3 linked regions of the Struthio camelus genome follow. Each later gene encodes a partner of the first gene's protein in a complex. Links are inferred from orthologs where the notes say so. Each region holds a gene or a part of one and is shown in the gene's direction. Other genes may lie near its edges. The genes, in order: TOPBP1, PHF8 and BRIP1.

Evidence for each region.
Region 2: the proteins of TOPBP1 (region 1) and PHF8 are in contact, whole or in part, in a crystal structure (PDB 7CMZ), measured with the Homo sapiens proteins. The link is inferred for Struthio camelus from reciprocal best matches to the Homo sapiens genes TOPBP1 and PHF8. Residues at the interface, in NP_008958.2 of Homo sapiens: Gln1298, Cys1299, Arg1314, Asn1315, Glu1316, Leu1319, Arg1369, Ser1406, Arg1407, Gly1410, Phe1411, Arg1413, Leu1414, Arg1465, Thr1466, Glu1467, Ala1470, Asp1471, Gln1475, Asn1483, Tyr1484; in NP_001171825.1 of Homo sapiens: Gly842, Ala843, Cys844, Phe845, Asp847, Ala848, Tyr850, Ile851, Tyr852, Pro853, Ser854, Leu855, Glu856.
Region 3: the proteins of TOPBP1 (region 1) and BRIP1 are in contact, whole or in part, in a crystal structure (PDB 3AL3), measured with the Homo sapiens proteins. The link is inferred for Struthio camelus from reciprocal best matches to the Homo sapiens genes TOPBP1 and BRIP1. Residues at the interface, in NP_008958.2 of Homo sapiens: Leu1272, Ser1273, Ser1274, Leu1275, Asn1276, Pro1277, Arg1280, Gln1298, His1311, Leu1313, Arg1314, Asn1315, Glu1316, Lys1317, Leu1319, Gln1366, Arg1407, Gly1410, Phe1411, Leu1414, Thr1466, Glu1467, Ile1469, Ala1470; in NP_114432.2 of Homo sapiens: Ser1129, Tyr1131, Phe1132, Thr1133, Pro1134, Glu1135, Leu1136, Tyr1137, Asp1138.

The regions. Positions count from the first base shown.
Region 1 is NC_090943.1:50,368,609-50,375,738, reverse strand, and holds the start of TOPBP1 (DNA topoisomerase 2-binding protein 1), read left to right. Parts: upstream 1-4,085; 5' UTR 4,086-4,158; exon of another isoform or gene 4,159-4,312; intron 4,313-4,497; 5' UTR 4,498-4,504; coding exon 4,505-4,585; intron 4,586-5,411; coding exon 5,412-5,546; intron 5,547-6,122; coding exon 6,123-6,266; intron 6,267-7,055; coding exon 7,056-7,130. Other genes in the region: C-C chemokine receptor type 5, read left to right, coding at 1-40. UniProt on the Homo sapiens protein: Scaffold protein that acts as a key protein-protein adapter in DNA replication and DNA repair. Composed of multiple BRCT domains, which specifically recognize and bind phosphorylated proteins, bringing proteins together into functional combinations.
Region 2 is NC_090979.1:567,311-574,795, reverse strand, and holds the start of PHF8 (histone lysine demethylase PHF8), read left to right. Parts: upstream 1-4,401; 5' UTR 4,402-4,851; coding exon 4,852-4,949; intron 4,950-5,034; coding exon 5,035-5,120; intron 5,121-5,221; coding exon 5,222-5,330; intron 5,331-5,564; coding exon 5,565-5,725; intron 5,726-6,681; coding exon 6,682-6,823; intron 6,824-6,903; coding exon 6,904-7,090; intron 7,091-7,179; coding exon 7,180-7,342; intron 7,343-7,485. Other genes in the region: serine/threonine-protein kinase WNK3, read left to right, coding at 641-870, 966-1,174, 1,426-1,515, 1,613-1,788, 1,930-2,070. UniProt on the Homo sapiens protein: Histone lysine demethylase with selectivity for the di- and monomethyl states that plays a key role cell cycle progression, rDNA transcription and brain development.
Region 3 is NC_090957.1:18,851,696-18,859,392, forward strand, and holds the start of BRIP1 (Fanconi anemia group J protein), read left to right. Parts: upstream 1-4,684; 5' UTR 4,685-4,776; exon of another isoform or gene 4,777-4,914; intron 4,915-5,305; 5' UTR 5,306-5,413; intron 5,414-6,297; 5' UTR 6,298-6,332; coding exon 6,333-6,425; intron 6,426-7,246; coding exon 7,247-7,358; intron 7,359-7,697. Other genes in the region: INTS2 (integrator complex subunit 2), read left to right, coding at 889-994, 1,176-1,352, 2,190-2,359. UniProt on the Homo sapiens protein: DNA-dependent ATPase and 5'-3' DNA helicase required for the maintenance of chromosomal stability. Acts late in the Fanconi anemia pathway, after FANCD2 ubiquitination.

The DNA.
Region 1 (7,130 bases):
ACAGTCCACTGGAGAGCAAGAAGTTTCTGCTGCATTGTAAACTGTGTCTAGTGAAAAAGTGGAATTAACTTTTGTGAAATCAGTTCTGTGAAAGAAGCCTCGAAAGCTGTTGTCTGGATATTGTCTCTAAGGTGGCCACAGAAGAACACGGCACATACGCCTACCAAACCTTGTACTTGTTCATTCATATGGGTATTTGTACATAAATGAAAAGGATGGATCAAATTAGCTAGCTGGATATGCAAATGTAGGATTCTGCAAGGAAAGAAGTATTCTCTTTTTTTGTGAAAGTAAAAGCATAGCTTTATCCTGAAGGACCTAAAACTCCCAAAGACTGGAGGCTTTCTCTGTACACTAAGCTAGCAGGCTCATACACAGAATTTTTGAATTAATTCAAAAGGAGGTTAGAAATCGATACTGGTTCTTTGGAAACATCTCTTGACTGGACCTTACACAAGATATCTCACTCATTTAAACTCAGTGTCAGCTCCACGCTTTACCAGCCTAATTGTGTACTTGTGCAGATAACGCTAAATTATGGAGGTCTGTGATATAGAATCTTTAGAAGGGATAAGGGAAAATGTTATATATTTAAAAGAGCTTCTAATATTTCAAGGTATTGTTTCATTGTGTACAGTCAAGTACCAATATTTTGGGTCTTTTCTCATGTTAGTCTTAACTATTCGATGTCAATACCTAAGTTACTCAAGAGTTTGGGTATTTCAGGAGGCTCTCTCAATCAATTGCTGTTTTATATGTTACTCATATTGAAAAGCTAATCAAATATACAATGGACTAACGTTGATCAGCAAAGCAATGTGTTTGCAACATTTAAACATTACAGTATTACACATGGAGCTTTAACTAGGGTAGATCAAATGTGTACTATCAGTCAATAGGGTTTTGTTTTTTTCAGTGCAGTGATTTTTTTGCCATTTTGCTAACCAGCATAGTTATAGGGAAAAACTTAAAATATGAAATTAATGCAGTGGTAGTGGCTGCAAAAACACAACAGCATTAGAGGTGTGGAAACGTTTTCTAAATAGGGTTGACCCAGATGTTTACAGAGATAAGCATATGCCATGAATTTTTAAGTTATCAAAACATAGGAACAAGTGAAAGAATTCACTGATCCACAAAGTCAAGGGGCACTTCCTGGTTTTACAAGTAGGTATCATTTGGGGGCTACCAAAAATGATACGACCATTTTTATGCCATTTGGTAGTTTTAAAGATAATAAAAGCTTTCTTAATTAGTAAGATTGACGGCCATCTATGACTGGGCTTTTGCTAAAGGTCAGATCCTGCAGAGCACTTGAACACACAGAAAAATTGAAGAATGGGGATACTAACGTGCTTAAGGTCATACCTTATCTGCACGATTACTTGATTCATGCCAAACTGTCCTTCCTAGTGTTTGTTACATTTCCCCTAAGACACTTGGTTTTGGCCAACTCTGGAAATAGAAATATAAAAAAACAATGTTCTGATTGCTGTTCTTATCTGGTAGGGTTATTTCTGTTTCCCAGCTCCTCTAAATATCCTTTTAGATAATATTTCCAAATAAGCAAATGTTTCCAACAGCCCCAAAGAAATCTTACACTGCTAAGTGCTTGTGAAAACAGGAAGTGCAATAGGGAAATCTTTGCTCATCAGACCACTTGTTTCAAGTTATTCTATCGTATTAAGCACCACTTTTGGACTACATCCACATGGGAAGTATAAGAAAATTATACTATGTCTTCTAATTCACAGTCGTTAGAGATGCACATCCTTTTTTAAGGCATTGTTGCATCAGTCACCTTCTGGACTTTGTATATGCTTTTAAAACAGGTAACTATATCACTATAAGTAGAAATCAGGTAATTTCAGCATAAAATGCAAAATATATGCATTTCATTTTTAAAGGGATAGGAAGCTACATGCAGTAACTTTTGTCAGGCTGGCTTTTTTTTTTCTTCTAGATCACATTTATGAAAATCTTTTTGTGATTTATTCTGTTCTCGACAAAATCATTCATTTGGACCCCAAGGCACACTGCCTTTAAGAAATTATTTTCTAGGTTTCAGTGCCATACACAGTACATAACCATCCCTGCAGAAGAAAAGGACAATCAAACACGGAAGAGGAGAGGGGCATGCTTTTTTGAGAGGTGTATCAAAGAAGAGCCCTGATCCTTTGCAGTATTATCTCCTATAGCAAGAATCTTTCCAAGTGACAAGCAACTTCCAAGAGGCAAAGTTGGAACTTTGAGAGTTTTGTGGTCCAGTGGATCAGCGGTGAACGAGCAGCTCTCAAGAGTTTCTATTACTTCACTTCACTGAGAAGGGACCATGCTTCAGCAAGCGAGAACAAGCTGCTCACTGTAGTAAGCAGGGAACCATGCTTCGAGGGGACATATCAAATAAGTGCTCAGTAACACTGCTGGTACATTGAATTAAGGACTCTGCCAACAGACTGTAATAATATTTTGTATTATACAATCCATTAAAGTTGGTTGACTTTTGTGTGTTAGATTTCTTGATCCTCTCTCTTCCCCTCTGCCCTCTTCTTTTTGATAGCCCAATAGAATTAAAAAAGAAAGAAGAAATTCCTCTTTATAGCAGGTTGCTATAATGCTGAAAAAGCAGGCAGAAAAAAATGAGAGTTTAACAACTGGACAAAGAACCAACATCATCAGATAACACATGACCATCAAGACATGATCCCTGTGCTTAACTGCTTGTCACTAGTTGTCTATTAAATAGCCTATTTTGGTTGATACTACACTTGTTTTTGTTTATTTTTACACACGGAAGAGGTTTAGCCCATAACTCACTCTGACCCTAAGAGGATGAATACTAAGTGTTTTAAAATACATAAGCATAGGAAAGAGTTTTAAAGATGTTTAGTATCTATCCCAAGGCACTGAAGAGATAACCTCCAACAATTAGACTTGCACACACGCTTACTCAGAGTCCCTTCAGTTTTTAACATTACGGTGCCATCATGTGGCCACACTGTAAGGTTTCATACTGCCACTTAAAAGACTCGCTTTCATCAGTGGTTTTGGTGTTCTTCCTCTCCCAAAACTTTTTTCTTCTCAAGATGCTCTTCTATCGAAATGACTTCCTCCACTACAGGCAGCATGAATATTACACAGACAGCAGCAAGCCTTAGAAAACACTCAGAGCACCTAGGACTAGCGGCCTGCCGGAGAAGTGGGCATTGCCAGCTTCTGATGATTCAGGCAGTTGAAAGATACGGGAGAACAATACAGAACGATACGGGAGGAGTGAAGCTCGATTAGCTTCTGAACAAGTTTTCCACATGCTCATGCTGTCCTCTGCTCCAGAAGGCGTGCACCTCAAATTCCTATGCATAGCTTGGAAGTCACAGGAACGAAACAGAACACCCTCTCTACGCTCTTTCCCCCGGAAGCACAACTTAGATGGCACTGGGATGAGCACGCTTCCAACCTTTCTCAGCCCTCCTGGCAGCTGCCGTACTTCCCCCGCCGCTCTCAAGCACAAGGTGGCAGCACCAGCACCCTAAGGCTTTTCAGAGCGAACAGAGTGACGGCCTGACCCTCTCTGGAGGGCAGATGCCAGGCATGGGCCAGGCTAGGGCTAGGGAAGCCGCCTTTGCTACCACCTCTTATGGCAGTAACCGTTCCCCGAGCAGCGGGAAGAGGCCTCCTCCAGCTGTCCCTGGCGTGAACCAGAGGGGACAGCAGCGCAGAGCGCTCCTTGGCTAGACAGCACGGATAAACAACCAGGCTGCGGGGCCGGCAGAGGCCGAGGCTGCGGCCCTCCACAGAGGCCAGGCAGCGGGAGCCGGGCAGCGCCTCAGCAACCCCAAGGGCCAGCGGGGGCGCTGCCCCTCCGCGGCGCCAGTGGGGGCGGCGGGGCCGCCACGGCGCGGGGCGCGCGAGGCAGCCGGCCCCCTCCCCTCAGCCGCCACAGGGCGGCGGCGGCGACACAGCCCACACCCGCGCCCGTCCGGCAACACCACCAACGGCCGGCCCGCGTGGGCACGTGACGCCGCGCAACGGCCGCCGCCGCTCCTCCCCTCCGGCGGCGCGTGCGCCTCCACCCCCCCGCCGCCCCGCCCGGGCTCCATGTTGCGCCTGCGCGGTGCGGGGCTCGGCGCTTCCCGCCAGCCGCGCAGGCGGCCCGGGGTGGGTGACGGGCGGCGGCGGCGGCCCGCAACGGCGGGGCGGCAGCGCCGAGCGAGCCGGCCTTCGGGGAGCGCTTGGGGCGGCGGTAGTGCCAGTGGCCTGCGTGAGGCGGGGGAGGGGAGGCTCTGTGGGGAAGGGGCTGCCCCCTGCGGAGGTTGGTGGCGCTGCCGAGGCTGGGCGGTGCGGGGCCGGGCCGCGGTGCGGGGCCGGGCCGAGGCGGTTTGCGCAGCTCCTGCGGCGGGGGTGGGGAAGGTGTTGGCGGCTGCTGGCTGCAGGCGTTAGGTGTCTCTCCGGACGAAGGTGGCAGAGTCATGAAACCTGTGTGGTTTTGCTTTCCAGTTAAAGGATGAAAGGTAGTAAGGAGCCGTTCTTTGTGAAGTTCATAAAGTCTTCTGGAAACTCGGAGTTTTTTTTTAAAGCTCTTGAGGTAGGTGGGTTTGATGACCTTTCTCAGTGAGGTTGCCGTATTTATTTTCTATGTAAGCGTCTTCTGTGGTTGTCTCGGGATGTAGTGCGTTTGTACGCATCTGTAGATAACACATTTCAGTGATAGAGATGCTCAGTGTTGTTATTAAAGTTTGTTTTGCATGATTATTCCTAGATCAAGAAGCAATTCTTTTTCATTGTGTTTATTTATTACTTGTAATGTGATAGTTCCATTCAGAAAACTCTTCTACATCTTGTAGATTCTCACAGAAGAGGGATTCTGTGGGCCTAATGTCTTGCTAAAGGTACTGAGGAGCCTAAAATTTGGAGATCAGCTCTGCAAAGAGCAACTGTCCAGTACAGCAAATAGTACCATGGGAAGTACTATTTCTCTTGGAGGGGAGGAGGGAGTAAGGGGAGGGAGGAGTGAATAAACGGTTTTAGCCTCCTCTGAAAACCTCTTAACGTTTAATGAAGTAAACTGGAAGCTTGGCAAATCCAAATGGTGGTCACTCATCCAGACTACTGAAGATTTAGTAAGGACAGTTCATTTTTCTCCTCCTCCTGGAGGTTAGTGGGAGTTAAAGGCACTGTCTGGCAGGATGAGGTCCTGAAGGTTTGTGTGCTGAACATATAGTTCTGAATATTGTGAAGAATTGGGGAAAAAAAAACAGGAGATATCTTTAGCCTTCTTTTCTACTAATATGCTCTTATATAGTTTTGTTGTAAGCTCTTTTAAGTAGACAAGCTTTTGTAGTTTCCACAGGTTTAACTGTTTGTGATTTGTGAATTAAATAAGTGTAATTGTGTGCACTGTTTTCCTGCAGTCCATAAAAGAATTTCAGTCAGAAGAACATCTGCAGATCCTTGAAGAAGAAGCAGCGCTCAGTATAAACGAAAATGATAAATCCCTTTACATTTGCGATCCTTTTAGAGGCGTTGTTTTCAGTCATCTCAAAAAGGTCTGCTACTCATCAATTTACTTTTAACTATACTCTCTTTTGTAGGAATACTCTGTCTTTTGTAGGAATGCTCATGTCGATAATTATACTCTGCATGTTTTCTCTTTCTTTACTGAATATAGTAGTCCATAGTAAAAATTCCAATGCATTTGTATTTAGGGAAGAGGAGGGCTGACAAAGCGTAACAATCATCTTGAAGCAAATGGAAAAATAAATACAGTGATCAGTTCTGATTCTGCTGTAGTCAGTGAGCTGGCTCTCGCGTTTTTTTGCTTCCCCCAGTAATGTAATTTTGTTTGACCTCCAAGAAATAATGCCAGCAGACAAAGCTAGGCTCGCGAGAATTCTGTGGCATGTCAGCTGTAGCATCCACTGCCTTAACCAAGGCCAGAAAACGTGAGAGGATGGTACTGAGAATCTGCATCAGAAAATGAAAAAAAATGTTCAACTACTTGGAGCTGCTAAAGGAGGGCAGACAATGACCTCTCCTTCCCCAGTGTTCTGGGACAAGGAAAGCTTTGTTTATACCGGTGTGTCTTTCTGCTAATCTTTGTTTTTTCTTTGATTTTACCGCAGCTCGGTTGTAGAATTGTTGGACCACAGGCAGTCCTATATTGTATGCAGTCCCAGCGATGCGTCCCAAGAGCTGAATATCCTGTGTATAACATGACCATGGCCGATGTAACAGTATCCTGTACCAGCCTTGAAAAAGATGTTAGGGTAATGGCCCATAATGGTTGTTCAGCTAATTTTTCTGTGACATTTGCTTCAGATGGCTTATTGCTAAGCCAATAGTCTTACTATATAACGTAAAAGTCTGCCTGTTTTTATATATAGGCTCTGTAGATGGTGTGTAAATTTTTGTATATAGGCTTACTATATATATGGTATGTATACATGTCTTTGTAGTGTGTATATGTACATTTATGTTACATAAGAATGCATATAAAATTGTAAGACATTAGTCTTGCTACTGTAGGATTAATTGTATGTTTTAGGGATTCTATTAGCTGACTTCATCTTTAGGTGGATCACTTAGCTTGCTAGTTTGTCTGTGGCTGTCATGCTGCAGACAAAGTACTCTATTTCTGGTTACTCAAACTACACGGTAAAGATTTAATATCTAGTCAGCCGTGGTTTATCTCAAGTAGTTTAATTCACGTCCTTCATTGTAAAAGTTTCCTTTTTATTTATTCCAACATCTATTTCTAATTTATACTACCTAAAATGCCAACCATCAGTACATTTTCACTGATATAATATGGTTGTAGCCTCTTTATTAAGGGTATCTTTTATATTCAGCTTATCAAGAATAAAATGGAGTTAATGTCTGGTATTTTTAATGGCTTCCCGAAATATTGATTTTTTGGATTTCCAAACAGATTTTTAGGAGAAACCATAGAGATTTGAAATTGACGGGGTTCTGTTTGTTTGTTTTTTAAGGTGAGCCTGCATATGATGTAGGTTCTTTTTGCTTGAAGATTTTCTATAGTTTCTTTTCCCACCCAGGAAGAAGTTCATAAATATGTGCAGATGATGGGTGGACGTGTGTACAGAGACCTCAATGTGTCAGTAACTCACCTT
Region 2 (7,485 bases), on another chromosome or scaffold:
CCTGGGTCCCCCCCAGAGGGGCTGGGAGCTGCCCAAGGGTCTCCCAAAATGCCCCAGGGACCCCCCAGAGGGGACGGGAGCTGCCCCAGAGACCCCCCAGAGGGGACGGGAGCTGCCCAGGGGTCCCCTAAAATGCCCCAGGGACCCCCAGAGGGGCTGGGAGCTGCCCAGGTGTCCCCCAAAATGCCCCAGGGACCCCCAGAGGGGCTGGGAGCTGCCCCAGGGACCCCCCAGAGATGATGGGAGCTGCCCAGGAACCCCCAGAGATGACAGGAGCCACCCCAGGGATCCCCAGAATGCCCCAGGGACCCCCAGAGATGATGGGAGCTGCCCCAGGGACCCCCCAGAGATGACAGGAGCCACCCCAGGGATCCCCAAAATGCCCAAGGACCCCCCAGAGATGATGGGAGCTGCCTAGGGGTCCCCCAAAATGCCCCAGGGCCACCTAGAGGGGAATGGGTGCCACCTCAGGGACCCCCAAAATGCCCCAGGGACCCCCAACCTCTCCCAGAGACCCCCCCAAAGAGCCGTCCCTGAACCCCCAGCCTGCCTCGCTGCTCCTTCCCCCCAGCGAAGGGGCCCCGGCGTCCGGCTCCCCGCCGCTGAGCGCATCGTCTCCCATCTCTCTCCCCCGCCGCAGGTGGTGGCGGTGCCGGCGCGGGGGGCGGAGGAGCCCCCCGGCGCCCAGGCAGCACCGGGCAGCCCGCCGGGGGGATCGGGTTCGGACAGCGAGGCCTCGGCCGCCCCCCGGGACGGACCGCGCCGCCCGGGCTCCGGCGCCCACTCGCCCTCGTCGCCCATGAGCAGCGACGGCGACTCCGAGCTCGAGGACGAGGACCTCAAGGCCGAGCTGCAGCAGCTGCGGGAGAAGTAAGGAGAAGGCCGGGCAAGGGGCCCAGGCGTCCGGGGCCACCCTCCTCGGCCCCCGAGTGACGGCCCCGTCGCGTCCCCCCCGTCCTCGCCAGGCACATCCAGGAGGTGGTGACGCTGCGGGCGCAGCAGGACCGGGAACTGCAGGAGCTCTACGCCCGCCTGCGGGCCCTCAAGGACGCCCGGGGGGAGCCCGGCGAGCCGGGGCCGCCCCCCGCCTCCCCCCGCCGGCCCCGGGCCCTCAAAGGCAAAGCCCGGGGGCGCCCGCCGGCCCCCGGCCCCGACGCCGGCCCCGCGCTCGCAGGTGAGCACGCGCCCGGACGCCTGGGCCCGCCGCGGGAGGCTCGGACCGCTCCGGGGAGGGGGGATGCCTGGGCCCGCCGCGGGGGGCTCGGACCGCTCCGGGGAGGGGGGACGCCTGGGCCCGCCGCGGGGGGCTCGGACCGCTCCGGGGAGGGGGGACGGGGACGCCTGGGTTTTCGGGGGGGGGGGGGCGGTTCGGGGGTCTGGCTCAGCCCCGTAGCAGCCACCAGCGAATCCCCGCCGCGTCCCCAGAGCGCGGCGGCCCGCCGGCCCCCCGCTCCTCCTGCTCCGCCGCCAGCGACTCGCAGCCCCCCAGCGGCTCCCAGGGTCCGGCTCCGCCAGGTACCGGAGGACGTGCGCCTCCCCCCTCCCAAAAACCCCGCGGCCCCAGGACGCCTGGGCCCCTCGCCGGCAGCTTAACGGCGCCCGCGTCCCGCAGATCCCTGCCGGCCGCCGCCGGCCGCCAAGAAAGGCCTCTTCACGGACGACTTCCACCGGCTGGTGGACGAGTGGGCGCGAGAGACGGCCGGCGCGCCGGGCCTCAAGCCCAGCCTCAACCAGCTCCGGCAGAACCGGGGTCGCCCGGAGCCCGACGCCCGGGCCAGGACCGTCGAGGTGAGGGGGGCTCCCGGACGCCTGGGTCCGCTCCGGGGGGCCCTGCTTTGAGTTGCCACCTCCTTCCCCCTTCCACGCCCCGATCCTCTTCCCTCCCCGTCCCGTCTCTTGTCTGTGTCTCTCTTTCCGCCGGCGCCGCAGGGCTCGTCCTCGTGGGCGTCCACCCTCCGCGGCGTCCGGCTGCCCCGCTGCGGCCCCTACCCGCCCCGGTGGGTCCCGACGCCTCCGCCCGGCCCCCCGGGTCCGGCCCTGCGCTGCCCCGTCCCGCCGGCGCCCAAGTGAGGGAGACGACGATGCCGGACGCCGTCGCCCCCGGACAGCCGCCGCCGCCGGCCCCCGCGCCGTCTCCGCCGAGCCAGGAGCTGCCCGGTTCGTGCTAGAACCGCCTCGTCTCGCCCCCGAACCGCCCCGTTTCACCCATAGACCACCCCCTTTCACGCCAAAACCGCCCCATTTCACCCCCGAACCAGCCTGTTTCACCCCAGAACCGCCCCGTTTCACCCCTAAACCACCTCATTTCACCCCAAAACTGCCCCTTTTCACCCCAAAACCAGCCTGTTTCACCCCTAAACTGCCCCCTTTCACCCCAGAACAGCCTCGTTTCAACCCCAAACTGCCCTGTTTCCCCCCCAAACCGCCCAATTTCACCCCAAAACTGCCCCCTTTCACCCCAGAACCAGCCTCTTTCACCCCTAAACTGCCCCCTTTCACCCTCGAACTGCCTTGTTTTACCCCAAAACTGCCCTGTTTCACCCCAAAACCACCCCCTTTCGCCCCAGAACTGCCCTGTTTCACCCCAAAACAACCCCGTTTCACCCCCAAACTGCCTTGTTTCACCCCAAACCACTCCCTTTCACCCCAGAACTGCCCTGTTTCACCCCAAAACTGCCCTGTTTCACTCCCAAAGCAGCCTCGTTTCACCCCAAAGCAGCCTCGTTTCACCCCCAAAATGCCCTGTTTCACCCCCAAACCACCTCATTTCAGCCCAGAACTGCCCCATTTCACCCTGGAACTGCCCAGTCTCACCCCAAAACCGCCCCATTTCATCCCCAAAACCCCTCATTTCACCCCAAAAACCTGTTCCACCCCAGAACCACCTCGTTTCACCCCCAAACCTCCCCCTTTCACCCCAAAACTGCCTCGGTTGACCCCGAGCTGCCTCAGCTGAGCCAAAACTGCCTCGTTTCACCCTAAAGCCTGTTTCATCCTAAAACCACGTTTCACCCCGAAACCTCCCCATGTGCCCAAGGCCCCCCCGTTTTGCCCCAAACTGCCTCGTTTCACCCCGAAACCCCCTTGTTTGACCCAAACGCCCACGTTTCCCCCGCCCCGTTTTCCTCTTGGTTGCCCCTAACGGCCTCGGTTCAGCCCCGCTCGTCCGACCCCAAAGTGGCCCGGTTTTGCCCCAAAACACCTCATTTTCCCCCAAAACTGCCGGTTCCCCCCCCCCACATCCCAAACCGCCTCATTCGGTTTCCAAACCACCCCAGTGGAGCTGAAACCCCTCGGTCACCTCACGAACGTCCTCGTTCTGCCCCGAAACCCGCCGTTCCACCCCAAAATGCCCCCAAACCGCCCCGTTTCCCCCCAAAAGGCCCTCGTTCACCCGACAACGGTGCGTGGGCCTCCCCCCAGCGCCGCGGTTGCCTCTCTTTGGCCCCCAAACCCCCTTGTTTCGTCCCAAAACTCCCAGTTGCGCCCCCCCTTCCCCCTCCCCACGCGATTTGGGGCGTAAACGTGGGGTTTTGGTCCATCTACCTCATTTCAGTCCCTTCCCCCCCTCCATGGTCTCCCCCCCCCCAAAAGGCCAGCGAGGTTTCGGGTCTGCTCCGGGGGCGGGGGCTGGCGCGGCCCCGCGTTTATTTTTTTTTTTGGACGGATTGTTACAAAGGAGTAAAAACGGCAAAAAAAAACACCAAAAAAAGGGAAAATAATAAAAACCCACGTGGAGAAGCGGGTGTTTGTGAGGCGGTGCGTCACTTCCAATATGGCCGCGGCGCGGCGTCCGCGCCACTCCCAAGATGGCGGCCGTCTGGACGGCAGCCGCCGCGGGACATGCCGGGTGTGTTGGGGGGGGGAAGAGAGAGAGAGAGAGAGCGAGAGCGAGAGAGAGAGAGAGAGAGAGAGAGAGAGCGCGAGCGTGTCCCGCCACTCCCAGCATGGCGGCCGCTGCCTGCGTGGGCGCTGCGCTTGCGCGACCTCCCCATGATGGCGGCGCGGCCGGGACGCTCGGCTCCGCCCCCGCCTCCGCCACCTTCCGGTGACCTCAACATGGCGGCGCGGCCCCGCCCCCTCCTTCCCGTTCCGCGTTTGAATAAACTTTATTGGGAGGCCGGAGCCGAGCAGCAGCGGCGGCGGCGGCGGCGGCACCGGCGTCGGGGCCTGGGGGGCCTTTAAGGGGGTCGCGGACCTCGGCGGGGGGGGTCGAGGCCCTATAGAGCCGAGGGGAGCGTCCGGGGGGGGCCTATAGGCCCGGGGGGAGGGGTCCCGGGCCCATATAGACCCGGAGTGGGGCGTCCCGGGGCCCTATAGAGCCGGCGGGGGGGGCCTATAGGGCCAGAGGTGGCCTATAGAGCTGGGGGGGGCTATAGAGGTGGGTGGAGGGGGGCAGGGCCGCGTTGACCCGGGGAGACCCTATAGAGGGGTGTTATAGGGAGGTTAAGGGGGAGGTAGAGCCGTTATAGAAGGGGGGGGCCCTATAGGGAGCTGAATTCCCCATAGGGGGAGGGGGGGGTCTATAGGGCAAAGGGAGCGGCGGTGAGGCCGGGTCCGCGCGGAGAGGAGCCGAAACCATCCCGTAAAGTTCCCCCCCCCCCCATAGCAAAAAGCAGGAGAGATCTATAGGGGCTACGAGCAGCCCTTTTCTATAGGGGAAGCCCCGCTGGTGCCCCCCCAGCACGGAGGGGGGGGTAGGGGGGGCTGCCCCTATACGACGCCGCAGGGCTGATGCCCTGGGGCGGGGAGAGGGGGTCCCGCCGGGGAGGAGGGCGCCTATAGCGGGGGAGGGGGTGCCTATAGCGGGAGGGGGGCACCTATAGCGGGGGGGAGGGGCGGGTGGGCGCCATGGCCTCGGTGCCCGTGTACTGCCTGTGCCGGCTGCCCTACGACGTGACCCGCTTCATGATCGAGTGCGACGTGTGCCAGGACTGGTTCCACGGCAGGTGGGGGCCGGCGGGGCCGGGGGGGGGGGCCGGGGTCGGGGAGGCGGCGGGGGCCGAGCCGTCCCCTATACACGCGCGCCTACAGCTGCGTGGGAGTGGAGGAGGAGGCGGCGGCCGAGATCGACCTCTACCACTGCCCCAAGTGCCAGGAGCTGCACGGCCCCTCCGTCAGTGAGTATCCGCTCGGGACGGTGTGGTTTTTTGGGGGGGGGGGACACGCGGTTCGCGGCGTCTCCTCAACGCCGGCATCTCCCCCCTCCCCGACTCCGCAGTGAAGCGGCGCCGCGGCCTCGCCAAGCAGCCGGACGCCGAGCCCGGCCGCGCCGTCCGCACCGGCAGCGCCCAGTTCGTCCGGGAGCTGCGAGGCCGGACTTTCCCCAGGTGAGAGGGGTGACGGGGCCGCTCTGCCCCGGCGTCGGGGCGGTTTTGGTTTTATACCCGCTTGACGGGGCGCTCGGGGCGGTGGGCGCCGAGCCCCCCGCCCCGAGCGAAGCGCGGCTTCGCCGGGACGTCCGAACCGGCCGCGCGCGGGCGCCGTCGGCGTCGCTCCCCTCGCCCCGGGGTTGGGGGGGGGGGCGTAGGGCGCGGAGCCGGGCGTTACGGGGGCCGTTCCAGCGCCGACGAGGTGCTGCTGAAGCCCAGCGGGGCCCAGCTGACGGTGGAGTACCTGGAGGAGAACAGCTTCAGCGTCCCCATCCTGGTGCTGCGCAAGGAGGGGCTGGGCATGACCCTGCCGCCCCCCACCTTCACCGCCCGCGACATCGAGCACTACGTGGGTGAGGAGCCCGGCCGGCGGCGGCGGTGGGGCTGCGGGGCAGGCTCAGGGCGCGTGGGAGCCCGTAGCGGCGCCTATGTCGCGTGTGGGGCAGCCCAGGGGCGCGTAGGGGCGTCTGTGGGGCCCGTGGGGCGGGCTAGGGGTGTATAGGAGCATCTGTGGGGTAGGCAGGGGGTGCTTAGGGTGTCTGTGGGGCCCGTGGGGCAGCCTGGGGGTGCGTAGGGTGTGTATGGGGCAGGCAGAGGGTGCATAGGGTGTCTATGGGGCCCGTGGGGCAGCCTGGGGGTACAGAAGGATGTTTTTGGGGCAGCTTGGGGGTGTGTAGGGTGCGTATGGGGCAGTCTGGGGGTGCATAGGGTGTGTATGGGGCAGGCAGAGGGCGCATAGAGTGTGTATGGGGCCTGTGGGGCAGCCTGGGGGTGCATAGGGTGTCTATGGGGCCCGTGGGGCAGCCTGGGGGTACAGAGGGATGTCTTTGGGGCAGCTTGGGGGTGCGTATGGGGCCTGTGGGGCAGCCTGGGGGTACAGAGGGACGTCTGTGGGGCAGGCAGGAGGTGTATAGGTTGTGTATGGGGCCCGTGGGGCAGGCTGGAAGTGTGTAGGGGCATCTATGGGGCAGACAGGGGGTGCCCAGGGTGTCTATGGGGCCTGTGAGGCAGACTAGGGGTGCATAGGGGTATTTCTGGGGCAGACTAGGGGTGCATAGAGGTATCTCTGGGACAGGTTGGGGGTGCCTAGGGCCCGTATGGGGCCCATGGGGCAGCCAGAGGGTGCATAGGGCATCTATGGGGCCCATGGGGCAGCCTGGGGGTACACAGGGACGTCTCTGGGGCAGGCAGGGGGTGCCTAGGGTACGTATGGGGCCCGTGGGGCAGGCTGGGAGGGGTCTGGGGCAGGTTGGGGGGCCGGCGTGGGGGCGCGTGTCTGCCCCCCAGCCGTCCACCCTGCCCGCGCCAGGCCCGGACAAGGAGATCGACGTGATCGACGTGGCGCGCCAGGCCGACTGCCGCATGCGGCTGGGCGACTTCGTGGCCTACTTCTGCGGCGCCCGGCGCGACCGCGTCCTCAACGTCATCAGCCTCGAGTTCTCCGACACCCGGTACGGCGCCCCGGCCCCGCGTCGCGTCCAACCCGCCGCGGCACGGGGTCCCCCGGCCCTGACGCCCTCGCGGCCCGCAGGCTGTCCAACCTGGTGGAGACGCCGCGCATCGTGCGCAAGCTCTCGTGGGTGGAGAACCTGTGGCCGGGCGAGTCGGTGTTCGAGCGGCCCAGCGTGCAGAAGTACTGCCTCATGGGCGCCCGCGACAGCTACACCGACTTCCACATCGACTTCGGCGGCACCTCCGTGTGGTACCACGTGCTGCGGGTGCGCCCCGGGGCGGGGGGTGTCGGAGGCTCCTGGGGTCTACGGGACGGCCGCGCGCTCCTGCCGACGCCGCCTCTCGCGTCCCGCAGGGCGAAAAGGTTTTCTACCTGGCCCGGCCCACCCCGGCCAACCTGGCCCTCTTCGAGGCCTGGAGCAGCTCCAGCAACCAGAGCGAGATGTTCTTCGGCGACCAGGTGGATCGGTGCTACCGCTGCCCCCTGCGTCAGGGCCAGACCCTCTTCATCCCCACTGGTACGATCCCGCGACATCCTCTGGGTTCTCTCCGATCTTCTCCAGATCCCCCCAGGTCCTTTATCCGTCTTCATCAGGGCCAGACCTTCTTCATCCCCCACCAGTACAGTGCTCGGACGTCCCTTGGGCTCTCCCCAACCTTT
Region 3 (7,697 bases), on another chromosome or scaffold:
CTACTGCTTGACACAAGCTTGGGGCAAGACTATAAGGTGTAAATTCATAAAAGAATTTAAATTTCTTCTTTGCCAGCTATCTTACCAGTTCTTTCCCTAAGTGCAGGAATACCTTCACAAAGCCTATCAGAATGAAATGTGCCGTTTTCCTCAAGTTTATTCTTTATGAATCCAAAGTGTGGTGGTTTCTTCTCAGTATGAGCTCAGCAAAGGAGGAATCAGGAGTTTGCTTTAGAAATGTTTTGCCTGTATTTTTGAAGGCCTTGTGATGATTATGGAAAAACAATGGCAAATGATTGATAATTATTACTCCTTAAGGCAATTCATGGGCCTTGAATTGGTATGTTGTAACAAGGGGAGATTACATATTTGGCTGTTTCCAGGTAACTGAAATTTATTGGGCTAAAGATTCTTGTAAGAGAATAAAACAACTCCCCAAAACTGTTTTTGTATCAAACTAACTTCTTAATTACTTGTATTTAATCCCTTCTCAAATATTAAGTTACTGCTGATAAGAAGGCGCTCAACTGAAGTTAAAAACAGAACATATGGAACACGAAACAACTTTTACGGGGATTATGTTGTGAATTGTGTGTTGCTTTGTTTCTCACCAACAGTATCAGAACAAACTGTGTCTGTGGGGGAGGTTCTGAAACACTAACTCTGGTCCTTGCATTAATGTTAAATCTGTGAGCTTTTTTTTTTTCTTGATGTCAGCAGAAACATTTCACAGTAACTACTATAAGGCTTCTGTGGCTTTCATTTCCTCATTGGTAAAATCAAAATAGTTACTAATTATTAAGTTATGTGAAGAACTTTGGATTGAAGGTGCAAAGCAATCTCTAAATTTATTGCCTGTTTCTTTTTTGCCTTTCACCTACTTAACAGATATTTGCAATCCAGTTACTTTCATTTTTGTGTATCCAGTACGCACTACCTAAATCTCTCAGCGTGGCTCGTTTAGCTATCAATGTCATGGGAACCCTACTCACAGGTAAGCATTCCAGCAACGCCTAAGCACACTGTTGCAGAAGTTAAATTTATTTTGTCTAGACTGAATACAATTTTACCGAAATGCCAGTGTGATAATTGTACTTGAAAACATAACAAAAATTATTGATTGGATTTTGATAATAGTTCCTTTTTTAACGGACTCTTTTCTCTTTCCTTGACAGTTCTAACCCAGTCGAAGCGTTATGCCTTTTTTATGCCAACCTTGCCTTGTTTGGTTTCCTTCTGTCAAGCCTTTCCGCCTTTGTATGAGGATATTATGTCTCTGCTGATACAAGTAGGGCAAGTCTGTGCCTCTGATGTTGCCACGCAGACAAGAGACTTTGACCCAATTATTACACGTAAGTAAGGCATCTTGTATTTCAAAAATAATATCATGGTCCCAGGGAGAAAATGATGTTTAATGTTTCAGATGTTTCAGTGCAGTTTGAATGCAAAATAAAATGTACTACCGTTACCTTGTAAATATAGAAGGGGTAAAGGTGGATTTATTGGAGAGGAGGAAAGAAGTTAGAGGCTAAAGAGGCTGAAGACATTCCTTTGTTAAGCTTTTATGAACTTCCTTCCTTCTGTTTTGTTTCCCTGTGCGTATTATTGCAAGATTTAACCCTGCGTGCCAGGGTTGTGCATGGAATTTGCCATCGTAGCCTTAGGAGGAAAGGCATGAGCAAAGACCATTGGCTTTTGAGAACACAAAGACACTTCCATGCTTCAGCTATGGCATAAGAGCTGATTAGGGAAATCTTCCTAGTCTACTGGAAGTGCAAAGTGAAATGAGTTAGCTGAAGTCTCACAGTATGGATGGATAAACATATAGTGATTGTATGAAGAGGACTTAACTGTTTAAGTCTATTCGTTCAACTTGAGCGAAACATTCTGTCTTTTTTCTGTCTAAAAACAAATGTTCCGTTCCTGTGATACAAGACTTGCTAATATTATCTGTGCTAGGATATTTATGTTAAAAGAAGTCAGACAGAATATAAATAAAAACAATGAAGTCAGATGTAGGTGAAATGAAAGATGTTTTTAGTGTCCCTAGAAATACTCGCTGTATGAAATAGTGATGGTTCAAATGTACTATTTCCCAATATGCATATTTGCATTAAGGGTGTAGTATAACAATTATCTTTGCTGTATTTATTTGTACTCCCCCCCCCCCTCCTTATTTAATTTTCTAGGTCTCCAGCAACTAAAGGAGAAACCAAATGAAGTGTCAGGACTTTGTAAAGATTCATCTTATAAAAGTTGTTCAAGGGACATAGCAAGCACGGACCCTGATGTTCAGTTATGCCAGTGTGTTGAAAGTACTATCATTGAAATAATTAACATGAGTGTAAGTGGAGTTTAGGAAGTACAGAAATGAAATTGTACCATAGCTCGTATCACAGTCTACGGTGTCTAAATACGGCGAGAACTGCCAAGTGGATTGAGAAACTGGAGCACAAGTCCATGTCTTTCATTCATCAGATTCAGTTATGGCTGAACCTTGTCCAAAGAAAATAATTCTTTAAAGAGGCTTACGCTGCTTCCAGTGAAAAGTTCTGAGGCTGCTGGGGCTGGTAAACAATTCCCCATCCAGTGGAAGTGGGCATGATTTTTAGGCTTGCTGCATCACTTCATGAACTGAGCAACACACCTGTACGTGGTTTTATAACACTTTTTGAAAAGCGAACGCTTAGTTTGTTGAGCAAACAGCAAAACAATGGGTAAGAAAAGCTTGAGGTTGGAGAACTTTGCTTAAGTTCAAATGAACTAGTGTTCCAGAGGCTTGCAGAACAAGATGGAATAAAAAAATCTTCACAGAAGACTGGAAAGTGTGGTGTAGGCATGTCGTACCATTGCACTGAGACCTAGAGAAGAGGCTTTACATTTTTTTGGATTGGCTTTTCAAACCATTGGCCAGTGTGAGTTCATGAGATCAGTCACTTTAAAATGAGTTCATTTAAACATCTGTCAGCCTTCATTAACAGTTTGAAACTGGTCTAGAAGTTTCTAAAAAAAAGTAGTACAAAATGAGGTGTATAAGCATGATTTTTAAATAATATATATTTTTAATGCTGCTTAGGTGTCTCTTTTTTAAACATCACTTTGTTTAAAAGAGAGGAGAAAGACCTAAGGAAGAAAAGCACAAAGATATCTGAATTGTCATTAGGTTAAGATTTAAAAAAAAAAAAAAAATCAGTGTTGGAGGTTACTGTGACAGAAGCTGAATTTCACTCTAATGACTGGAATGACAGGTTTTAGCCATACCAAAGTGGTTACATCCTAGAAACTTGCAGCTTGGTGGACAAGAAGGCTGAATCCTTTTGTGCTTAATGCATACAGAACTGTCTCTGAAAGCAGTTGATTGTCCTCTCATATAGGAAAACCCACACGATTTAGCCTTGAAAGATGTTTTGTGGCATCACAGAAGGGTGTGTATGGTGCAATATCTGGAAGTTTCTTCAAAGTTGCACAAGCTCTCATGATAGGCAGCAAATGCTTTTGCAGACAGAGATAAAATTAAGGTTTGGCTGTTGTGCTAGAATTGAATGCAGTTCTTCAACGAACTGTAACTGCTAAACTTGTCAATGCAGCATTTGCTGTTTTGAAAATGACAGTATTTAGAGTCCAGGTTAACTAAGATATTTTTCAATTAAAACCAGTTTATATTCCAGAAATCATGGTCTGAATGTTTAGTCTGGCCTTCTGAATGTCTTGATGTGTTGGAATGCGATTCAGAAAAGCTAATATTGAATTGCCAAACAAAGATACGGTACACTTTCCAGAGTTACCAACGTGCTGATGTAAAGCCTGCTGTAACCAGGTGACAACACCATCTGACTACCAAGTATATTTTTTGTCATTTTGATGTAAAAGATGTAAATAATTTACATGTATGTATTTTTTCCTCTTATGCTTGTGATTTTATATGCTGTAGTGGTATTTAAGTAAAAACAAGTGTATGTTTTGGATCAATTTGTAGATATTTGTACTTTTAATTTCAAGAAGATTTGCCTATATCGATTTAAATATTCCAGTTTGATACCTAGGTTAAGTAGAGGGAACCATCCCTTAGGGCCTTAGCAAAAAAAACCCTCCCAAGACCAAAACAACCCAGCAGCGCTGGTGACTTGCAGATCTTAACGTTGATCCTGAGACTTTTGAATTGCCAAGAAAGAGTAGTTTTAAATGCATGTAAGTACTTAGACGTGACAGACTTTACTAAAAACAATTTTCATTAGCATTTTAGGTTCCTGTACAGTATTTGCAGTAGCTGTCCTAAAGGTAAATTAAAAAAAAAAAAGTCTATTTTTTCAGCCCTAAGGAAGAGGGCGTGAAGAACCAGCGCGTCCTACAGTGTATCCTGATTATCACGCGAGCGCTACCGGGGAGCCGGGCCCAGAGCTTCCGCCTCCCGCTAAAAAAAACCAAAAAACAAAAAACCCACACAATACACACAAACCCCCGCCCCCAAAAACCCAAACTCTCCCCCAGATGACGATAGTTGCTGAAAGGAACCTACCGGAGGCCCTGAGGGGCCCGAGCCGCCGCCATCAGCACCACCGCCGCGCGGTCGCCCAGCAACGAAGACAACCTAGGAGCTAACAAGGCGCTCCGCGATTGGTTCTAACAGCGCGGAGGGGGAAGGCGGGAGCGGTTGAGTTCGCGGCCTGCTGATTGGCGGCTCGGAGCCTTTCCTGTCAGCTGATTGGCGGGAAGGACAGCGGCCGGGGCGGAGGCGGGAAGGACGGACGCTGAAGAGGGCCGCTGCCGCCGCGTGAGGTGAGCGGCTCGTCGCTTCTCGCGGGGCCGCGCCCGGGGCGGAGCGCGGCTCTGAGGGACCCGGCTCGCCGCGGGGAAGGGGCTCTCCGGAGGCTCCTGCCTTTTCTCCGTCTCCCGGCAGAGAAAAGAAGCGCCCAGGTGCCTTTTGTAGGCCGGGGTGGAAAGTGGAAGGCGCGGGAGGAGGACAGCAGCCGGCCCCAGCGCTCTCCGCCGCGAGCCCCGCAGAAACCCGCGCTGGGCCTGGGGGTTCCCTGGGGAGCCGCCCCCGGCCCGAGGGTCCCTCCACTTCGCCCCCCCTCCCTCCCTCCCGGCCCCCGTCTCCGGCTGCTGCCGCACTCCGGTTTTGATCCCCTCCCGCCTCCCTCGTAGGGGCTTGCTTTTTCTTAGGCAAAGATCCTTCGCACTCCCCTCAAAAAAACGTTTGAGAGAACCCCTCTGCGTGTGAGGAAAAGCCTTTCAGTGAGGTGCAGTTACGTTTTTGGAAGGAGGGCATGGCTGCAAACTCAGGCTAGCAATCTCTTTTGGCTAGGGTTTCTTTTTCCTGTTGAGGAAGCTGATGATGAAGCTGAATCATGCCTTGTGTTGGTGGCTTTTTCATGCATGCATTTACTCATTAAAGAGTCAGATGAGCACACAGGTTAGTGAATTTATTTATCACAGGGAGGTTGCCAGCATAAATTCACTTTTAGTTATTTTGTAGATGCTTAAGACCGATAAGAAAAGTTAGTGATGCTTAAAAGCTGTAGTCTTTTTTAAAGCTGTATATCCCTACTCGATATTTGTACCTCAATAGTTTCAATGTTTTAGAATGATATGGAAGATAGGACTGGGTGTAAGGTTTGTTCAGCTGGATGCTCAGCTGGATAGTGTGGCTTGCTGAAACAGTACGGTTTTTATTACCCAAAATGAGAGAAGTGCAAGAAGATAAGTAGAATAGTAAAATGAATGACAGCTCATTTTCCCCTGAATAATTACTATATTAGTACTATAAGAAAGGTGTTTTAAAATCTTATTTTTAAAGTCAGTATCCAATCTTAATTTCTCACTGTTACAAAATGAAAAGGCATATTCAGAAGCTACAGCTGTTGGCTGTATCACTGTAACTTGCAGCGTCTTGGAGGTCAAGTTAATGGAGCCGCAGAATTGAAAAACTGATTATTTATAGTTACTAAATATCCTAGAATACTTTTTCCCCTAAGAATTTGGGGGGAAGTAAAACCTGTGAAATAAAATTGAAATGATGTAAGTAGTTCATTCATAGTTATTTCTAAATTGCTTACATTGCTAATGTTAATTATCAGATGGTGGTAACTTGCTCTTGTTTGTGACAAGGACCAGGCTTGAACTGCTGTCATGTAGTATAAGTTTCTGTATGCGAGTTTTCTTAATATCCTGAGCCACTTAGCCCTCTTATCAGGTTAGCAGTTTCTGCTCGTTTCTGTTTGGTGCTGCATGTTGTTTCAGACTTTCCCGTGGTTGCTAATTTTAGCTGGTTAATACTTGTTTTTATTTCAATTGCAGTTATAAATCTGAAATAAACAGGGTGAAAAGTGGCAATGTCTTCTGACGTGTCAGAATATACTATTGGGGGAGTGAAGATTATATTCCCTTGCAAGGCTTACCCATCACAACTAGCTATGATGAATGCAGTAAGTAGAATTTATGTTAATATTCGCTAAAGTAATAGGTTATGTTTTGCAATTCTTATCAACCTTTAGAAAAAGAGCATATACAATTCAGTCTCCACTATTTTCAGTATTTCAATTGTAATGCAACTTACTGTATTACTGTGTTTCTTTGTTCTCTGTTTGTACGTGTTTGTGCTATACAATGACATGTGACCCGTGACTAGGAATCTATGGTATTTGGATTATAAGATAGTAATAATGTTTTGGAATGTTGAAATACATTTTGGCTTTGTAGGCTGAACTTTTATGCTAAGAACCAAGCTATGTGCTGTGTAATATAAATGCTTATTTAATTAGCTGTAATATAAATTGTGTATGATTTTGCAAGTACAAGGAGGGAATGTTCTACTAAACCATGTCTTTTAATCAGAGTGTAATATTCTAGTAATTTTTTTCAGAGGAGGGTTTTTATATGATGTTTCATATTGCATATTTAATATGTACGTTTTATATTTAATTTGGGAAATTTAAATATTTTCTTCTTTGAGAGACAAATATTCTTGTTCTGCGATAGATATTTTAAATATTTTGGTTCTATAAGACTACAGAAAGAAAGTCAGCCCCATCAGATATTGCTATTAGCAGGTAAGTATTTCATAGTACCCTGTAAGCGAACCTCTGAGCACTGCTCAGAGGGTTGTTTTTTTTAATTTTTTTTTTATTTTTTTGAACATAACTGCAGGTGCCCTGGACTATTTTTAAAAGTTACCTTTAGCTTAGTTAAAACATTCTTTTTGCTTTCACAGTTATTTATGATTTTGTTTTCATTCTTCTCCTTAAAGATTGTTAAGGGATTGAATAACAGGCAACACTGTTTGCTGGAGAGCCCTACAGGAAGCGGTAAAAGTTTGGCATTACTTTGTTCTGCATTATCATGGCAGCAGTCTTTGTATGGTAAGCTTTCTCAGTGTCCATGTGCCCAGTTGTTGTTGCTGAAATATATTATAATGAATTATTGTTGCTTTTCAACCTTTAAACTTTTGGTTTGAGGAATGTATGCAGGTCTTTGTCCATCATTATACATACAGGCTTATTGGCAAAATGGCATTAGGCAATCAAAACAGCAGTGGCCAATAATGCTAAGCAGAGTGATGACAGCTTGTTCAGACGGCATAGTACACAGAGACACAAAGTTTATAATGTAAATAAAATAGATGATGAAGATCGCATCCATAATGTGTAACGGGACCAAACAAAGTCCCATCCAAAATGATGCTTAAAAATTTATAAGAA